Linked DNA regions of Macaca mulatta. The protein of the gene in region 1 interacts with the protein of each later gene in a pairwise test. Links are inferred from orthologs where the notes say so. Each region holds a gene or a part of one and is shown on either strand. Other genes may lie near its edges.

Region 1 (3,821 bases):
ATGAGCTCCACTTTCAATATCTTAGAAAATTTCTTTAGCAAAATGATTCTGCCTTTGCAGATTTTAGTTATGGATGAGATATTGCTTAGACAGCGCTGTTCAACGAGGCCCTAATTAACAACTATTTTTGAGTATCACCTATGTGTCCCATATTCCACATGCAATGTTTTAAGTACCTATGCATATAAAAGGTGAGTGACAGCTAAAATTAAAGCACTCTTCCCTCAACTACAGAAGATAGAGAACAAAGAGGGAAATTTTTGGAATCATGAGAAATTCACACACCAACACACAACAAAATACTTCAAAAGACATTGATTGGTGCTACAATTTCAACTTACCTACCATCAGGTTTGATCTGTCTATTTCGTTTTTCTTAAAACACAATGGTTAAGTTAGGGAGCTGTAAAATTTAATTCAAGACAACTGTTTTTCCCCATCCCTGCCTCCTTCATGTGCTCTGACAGGCATGCTTTCAAATAAAATTCCACACTGCTTTTTCTCAAATAAAAGGCGTGCTAGTAGCCAAGCACTAGAAAACAAGGCAGCACACACACACGCACACACCCCCCAAAATAAACGTCACACACACACACCCCCCCCCCCCACGCAAAATAAACGTGTTTCAGGTTAGGATTATGGTTTTAGTTTTGAGCTTTTAAAAAAGTAGTAAAATTATACATTTAAAAAGATAAAAATACCTTAACTGTGTCCTTTTAAATAAAGGTGAGCTTAGAAGTTAGGACCTTTGAATTCAAAAGTTCCTGTTCACTTTACTGTTAGCCACTGAAATTCTAAAAAAAGAAAAAAGAAAACCAGCAATGAAGGGCATCGAGGGTAGTGCAGACACCAGGGAGACAACCTCTGCCTGCCATTGGCGCCCCTGGTTACACTGTCACCACCTCTCGGAGCCAGCAGGGCCTCTCCAGGGAGCCCACGGCAGGCTCCAGGCAGCTCATCACTGTGGACACCCTGGTGGCTCCAAGACAGCGTAAACATCCAGGAGACCTGGCTCAGGGTGAGTCTGGGAAAGCCAATGCTGACATAATTTTCAGTGTCTGTGAGTCTCTGCCGCTGAGACAGGAATGAACACACTGCCTGAATGAGAGGAAAAGAGACAGCTGCCCAGCCCAGTCATAATTTCATTCTTTTCATTTTTCATTTCTTTCTTTTTTTTTTTTTAAGACAGGATCTCACTCTGTTGCCCAGGCTGGAGTGCAGTGGTGCAATCTTGGCTCACTGCAACCTTGACCTCCTGGGCTCAGGTGATCCTCCCACCTCAGCCTCCCAAGTAGCTGGGACCATAGGCGTGCCCCACCTCATCTGGCTGATTTTTTTGTATTTTTGTAGAGATGGGCTTTTGCCATGTTTCCCAGGCTGGTCTTGAAATTCTGGGCTCAAGCAATCCACTAGCCTTGGCCTCCCAAAGTGTTGGGATGACAGGTGTGAGCCCATCAATTCCTCTACGAATGGCTAGGTTTGTGATCGGTAAAGGAGATTAATCTTGCAGAGGGACTCATTTAAAAGGCCCTAGAGACAAGGCCCGGAGAGACCCAGAAAGATCACCTTGGGTCCCTTTAGAAGGACTCTCATGTTCTTCTGATAGCCACAGAGCAGCTCAGGTGGTGTTTTTTTCATTCATGAGGATGAAAACATTGCAAAATCAAGACAGATTAAATCAGCACACTCCAGAGATACTTGCCACTGAGCAAAGGCTTGTTGAGGGTGTAGAGAGGTGGCAGGTCCTCTATGTTGGAGATCCGCTGGTACATGGCCCTGGAAAGGTGGTCCCCATGGTAGAGGCTTCCCAGGATGATGCTCGAGAAGTAAATGGGCTCCACGAAAATGCTGAGCAAGGATCCCTGGATGCCCACCACGTTCCAGCTGGAGGGATAAGAAAGCACAGTCTTCAGGGAGCTCGGACTCAGTGCCGACGCGCCCCAGCCCAAGCCTGAGTGGTTACAGGGATGCACTGACAATTCTGCAGGATACCAACCAACTGACGAAGGAGCGAACAAAAGTAACAGACTGCTTTAGCAGCTTACGATCGCAAAGACAAAAATCTACTTAAAAGTTATTTTACGCTGTGATTTTCTTTACCATTACGTTTCCCATAATCAATGAGCCATGTGTGTTTCTTGTGAGAAAGTTGTGGGAAATATCAGAAAGGAAATTACGTATTTATTTCATTACAGCAGGTCCCCTTATCTGAGGTTTCACTTTCAGAGGTTTCAGTTACCCACTGTTAAGCATGATCTGAAAATACTAAATGAAAAAATTCCAGAAATAAACACTTCCAGACTTTAAATTGGATGCTGCTCTGAGGAGTGTGATGAAATCTTGTGCCGTCCAGCCAGGGGTGTGAACCATCCATGTTGCAGATGCCACTGGCCCGTTAGCGGTCACCTTGGTGACTAGATTGATGGTCGCAGCATCACAGTGCTTGCGCTCAAGTCACTCTTATTTTATTATTAATGACTGTTGTTAATCTCTTACTGTGTCTAATTATAAGTTAAACTTTATATAGGAATGTACTTACAGGAAAAATACCAGCACGTACAGGGTTCAGTCCTGTCTACAGTTTCAGGAGTCTACTGGGGGTCTTGAGACACATCTGCGGAAAAGCGGGGACCACTATACCTCTTTTAAAAATGATAGCTCTTCAAGGAGCCCTTCAAAACATTCAACTGCTTATTTCCTGTTCTCTGCAAGTGACAATGGCACTGAATGCACAGGGAGAGAGGGTGTGGGGTTTACAGCGGCTGCATGTGTGCAGCTGACATGCACGACACCAACTATGCACACCAATGGCAACTTAGGTATTCGTTATCAGGTCCAGCACACACATGCCTTCACAATATGCCTGTTCTCTCTTTCTGAGCCCCGCAAACAGCATGCTCTGCTCAGCCTGGGAGTTGCTGTGTCCAGAGCACCCTTTGCTGGGCACTATATACACATGGTGTGAGGTACTGGGGGGAGACACAGCCTAGGAGCTAAACAATAATGCAATGAAAAGACAAACAAAGAACCATAAATTGAGGTAAAATCAATTTGGAAGAAAGGGCAGGGTTCTGTGAAAAAGAAAAAGGGGTGTATGAACTTCAAGGAATGCTCCTGGGGTGACCCTGAAGCTCAGCCCCAAAGGAGGGGGCTGTGAGGCTGAGGGAGGAAGGCATGTCCCAACCTAGGGGGCAGGGGACGCAGGACAGCAGTAAGGGCAGCCAGGGCAGAGGGGCAGGGCAGGGGCCCCTGAGCAGCCAGGAGCCTGATGAGGGATGGGGCGGTATTCAGACGGCAGAGAGAGGCCAGAGAGAGAGAGAGAGCCAGCCACTCAAGCCTTTTGCTTACCTGCTGCCTGAGGCCTCCCTTCCCTGCCGCCCAAGCCCTCCACCCCGATTCTGACCTCCATGTAATTTACAGGTCCATGTCGGGTTATCCGCCCCATCCTACCCCAGCATGGGAAGAGGTTTCTGTCGGCTTTCTTTACTGACCTATCCCAGCACTCACAATATGTACCTGACACACACACAAGATCAATAAATGTGTCGAATGGACAAATCCTCCAATTCCTATGACACGTTCCTTCCACCTTCCAAAATGGAAATGAAAATGCAGGTTTCCCTAACTTACAGAAAAAGCATGAACTGATTCAATGCCTCTAAGAAACACAGGCCTATTTCTTCTCTAGATTAGAAGCCTCTACGCACTTAGAGCATCTTTAAGCTGAATTCAGTCTTCAGGGCAAACTTTAAAGCAGTGATCCTGCAAAAACCTACATTTGTTAGGAGTCATTAATTCTGAACACATGCTTTGTAAGAGAA
Region 2 (3,821 bases), on another chromosome or scaffold:
ACATGGCAGGTATTGGGTTCTCCCCCACTGGTGATGGCCATGCTGTTTCTGTACAGCCTGAAGGTGAACCCAACCAGTAAGTACACTTGTAGAAATGAGGGGTATAGAGTGTCCTTTCTGCACCTGGGCACTTCACTTTGTCAGCAAAAAAAGCTAACAAACTTTACTATATTTGTGCTTCTTGACAGATAAAATGGGAATTACTAAGCTGTAATCAGGCCTAAAGTGGCCTGACTTAATACAGAGACTTTCTCACTTCTCCATCACAATTATTTGGGTAGCTTCGGCATGCAGCATTGTAAGTGAATACTCATATCTCATCAGCCTATGTAAAGCTTGAAGTTCTCGCAGTTGGAGAAAAAGAAAAAAAAAAAACCTTGAGGAAGTGGCAATAACTAAACCTCACTTGTCATGGAAAAATGACTCCAGTTGCCTAGGTGGTAGTAACCTTGAAATGCCGCTTATTCAGTTTTAAGCACTGACCTGCCAAGTAACTAGTAATTCCCAACTCCCTAGAAGAGGTTCTCTTTTTCCCTAATCATAATCCCCACATGCTAAAACCAAATTCATCTAAGCCATCTATTTTATGCAGGATACATGTAAATCTTAGAGGATTATCCCAGCACTGAGCAGATGACAGATCAAACAGATCTCTCTTCATAGTTCTCTGGATGAAAAAAACAATGTTTATAAATAATCTGTATTGTTCACATTGCCAGGTTCAATTTTCTGGATCATTGTTACTCTTCTATTTTTTGCATAGTTGTAACAGAGTATTCTTTAAATATTTTTTTATGACATGCCTATTACGTACAAAACGCCACAAAGCTTATGTAGGTAAGTGATACATAGGCCCTACCTCAAGGAGCTTATAGTCTGAATAGGGGAGAGGTATGGTGAAGGATGGACAAATTATATGTATTTGTAAGAGTATATAATTTATGGTAAAACAATTTCCTCAAGAAAGGATTAAACCGTGTGTTATAATGTTTCAAAGAAGGGAGAGATTATAAACCACTGGGGTAAAAGGATAGGCTTCTTGGAGAAAGTGTCATTTGAGATATATCTTGGATGACAGATCAGATTCCCATAGAAGAGGCCTGAGAAAAGGGCATTCCATGTAGAAGGAATGACAAGAGCAAAGACATAGAGAGTTAATTAGAAAATGCTTGTCATTTATTTCATAATTTGGGGGAAATTATTTTGTTTTATAACACTTTTAAAAAATATTTAGCTTTGCAGTTCCTGATCCCTTAATGCCTGACCCTTCCAAGCAACCAAAGAACCAGCTTAATCCTATTGGTTCATTACAGGTAAGTTGTACAGTTCTTTGCCTACTGATGAAATATATAATAAGTTTGTAATATCAGAGGGGCTAACACAAGGAATTAATATTTTAAAGACAAGATAGTGATATATTTTGTTTTCCAACTTACGATCATTAGATTTATAGAGCTAACTTGAAATTATTCCATATACAGTATTTGCCTTTGGCTTATACAATTCTCATTTAAGATCAATAGGCCCTCAGTGCACATGGGTAGAGTGTTTTATACTTTAAGAATAGTTCTTGCTACTCTTGTGACAAATCTCTTTCTACTTCTGTTGAGACAGAAGACTTTATAAAGAGCCTAAATCAAATCAGTGAACCTAACTCAAGAAAAGGAGTCTGCTTATTTGCTTATTCTACCGAAAAAAGAAAAATTTATATCTACACACACTCACATATGCACACATATTCAGCTTTGAATTTCTATATGCAGAATATCCTTGCAGACTATTCATGTGCTCTGTTAGGCCATTCCCCTCCCCATTATTCAGCCAGTCCTTTGGTCTCTTTTTCCAGCACTATGAGCTTTTCTATAGTTTTCTTCACCTTCTGTCCCCCACCTCATCCAAGTCTGTTGTTTGCTGTCCCTACTCATGTGTTCTTGGCCAGCTGTGGGTTTGGAAGTCTATAGCTAGGAGGGGAGGGACTTTAGGAACTGATGGCAGTGAAACCTGTAGATGGTCTCCTCTGGTGTTCCCAAAGAGGGCGGTAGTAGCCTGTTTTTCTAGTTGAAGTCTCATACCAGCTCACTATGGTTTAATTCAAGAACACCATTCATAGCAGAAAACTGATTCAGTTTTGGTATTGGGATATAAAGATACAAAATGCAGGAATGTCTCTGAGAAATAGAGGGTCTTCCCTCTTTTATCCGTTGCAGAAAATCACTATTCTTTTCAAACATATACATAGAAATGGGATCAAAATTAAGAAAATACTTATGTGATTGAGCCATTGCATAAAATTACTATTAAAGCCTCATCTTGATTTTATAGGAATTGGCTATTCATCATGGCTGGAGACTTCCTGAATATACCCTTTCCCAGGAGGGAGGACCTGCTCATAAGAGAGAATATACCACAATTTGCAGGCTAGAGTCATTTATGGAAACTGGTACTTATTTCTTACAATTAAAGGCATTTGAAATATTTTCAGATGATGAATGACTATAGAAATTTCTGTCATAATGTTTTCCAGTATTTCTATGCAGAAAAGTTGATACACTCCTCTTTTATAGTCTCTGACTTTCTGAGGCTGAACTTAAGTATAAATATTTGGCTTAAGATACTTAGTCTTAATTTGATATTTTTAAAAATCAGAGATTATTAATAGAAACTATTGGCTTGTACTTTAAACAGTCTTCATTGATAAATTAGTGACTTTAAAAAAACTCATTTTGGAGACAAAGCTATAGCAAATCTCTTGGATTTTATTTAAGAGCTATTCTATCTAGAAAATAGGACTAGAGGAAGATTACCCTTGAAAACGATATGATTAATAAGAGACTAGATGGCAAATAATTGCAGTGAGATAAAAATGAAAATTATCTTTCTTAATTGTAGCAACTCCTATGTTATAAAGGATATAAACTGTAAGAAACACTGTCACTTTAGAAAGTACTAGTGAGAATTCCTGTTAACTTCTCTGGCATGTTTTTGTCATTTTTTAAAGTGGCTTAAAATGGGATTTTACCTTAACTAGATAATAGTTTCAAGTAATAAGAAACTGTGTGCCTTTGGGAGGTAGTGTGGGCTCTTACAGAAAGCACCAGGTCAAAAGCAAGAACCTCAACTTCCATTTTTGATGCAGTCCTTGATTTGCAAAGTTAAGCAAATTAATCTCTCTGGACCTCAGTTTTTTAATCTATAAAACAAAAACATGGAGATAGATATTTGTGGTATCTTTCAACTCCAGCATCCCCTGTGCCTTTCTTATTCCTGTTTAAAGGAATTCCATATAATTGTCAGTTTAGAGAAGATCACAAGCAGGAAATAGACATTGAGAGAGAGGAGTTATAATTCAGATGTATTTTAATAAATATGAATAATTGGTCAGAATTAAATGTGGTTCAGTAATGCTAGACATAGGAAAATACAATTATTATAGAAAAACAGAAAGCATAACTATTAAAAACTTAAAACAAATGCCTTCAAAAGTGTAAGAATTAGTAACTATACAGGCCAGGCACAGTGGCTCACCTATAATCCCAGCCCTTTGGGAGGCTGAGGTGGGCCGATCGTCTGAGGTCAGGAGTTCGAGACCAGCCTGGCCAACATGGCAGAACCCTGTCTGTGCTAAATATAAAAAATTAGCCAGGTGTGGTGGCAGGCACCTGTAATCCCAGCTACTTGGAGGGGCTGAAGCAGGAGAATTGCTTGAACCCAGGAGGCGGAGGTTGCAGTGAGCCAAGATTGCACCACTGCACTTCAGCCTGGGCGACAGAGCAAGACTCCATCTCAAAAAAAAAAAAAAAAGAATTAATAGCTATACAAAA

What was found.
Region 2: the proteins of ADARB1 (region 1) and PRKRA interact in binary tests that used the Homo sapiens proteins (3 or more experiments, as listed by UniProt). The link is inferred for Macaca mulatta from reciprocal best matches to the Homo sapiens genes ADARB1 and PRKRA.

Annotation. Positions count from the first base shown.
Region 1 is NC_133408.1:2,331,755-2,335,575, forward strand, and holds part of ADARB1 (double-stranded RNA-specific editase 1), read right to left. Parts: intron 1,885-3,821; coding exon 1,703-1,884; coding exon of another isoform or gene 1,699-1,702; intron 1-1,698. UniProt on the Homo sapiens protein: Catalyzes the hydrolytic deamination of adenosine to inosine in double-stranded RNA (dsRNA) referred to as A-to-I RNA editing.
Region 2 is NC_133417.1:83,391,400-83,395,220, reverse strand, and holds part of PRKRA (interferon-inducible double-stranded RNA-dependent protein kinase activator A), read left to right. Parts: exon of another isoform or gene 1-376; intron 377-1,234; coding exon 1,235-1,313; intron 1,314-2,322; coding exon 2,323-2,440; intron 2,441-3,821. UniProt on the Homo sapiens protein: Activates EIF2AK2/PKR in the absence of double-stranded RNA (dsRNA), leading to phosphorylation of EIF2S1/EFI2-alpha and inhibition of translation and induction of apoptosis.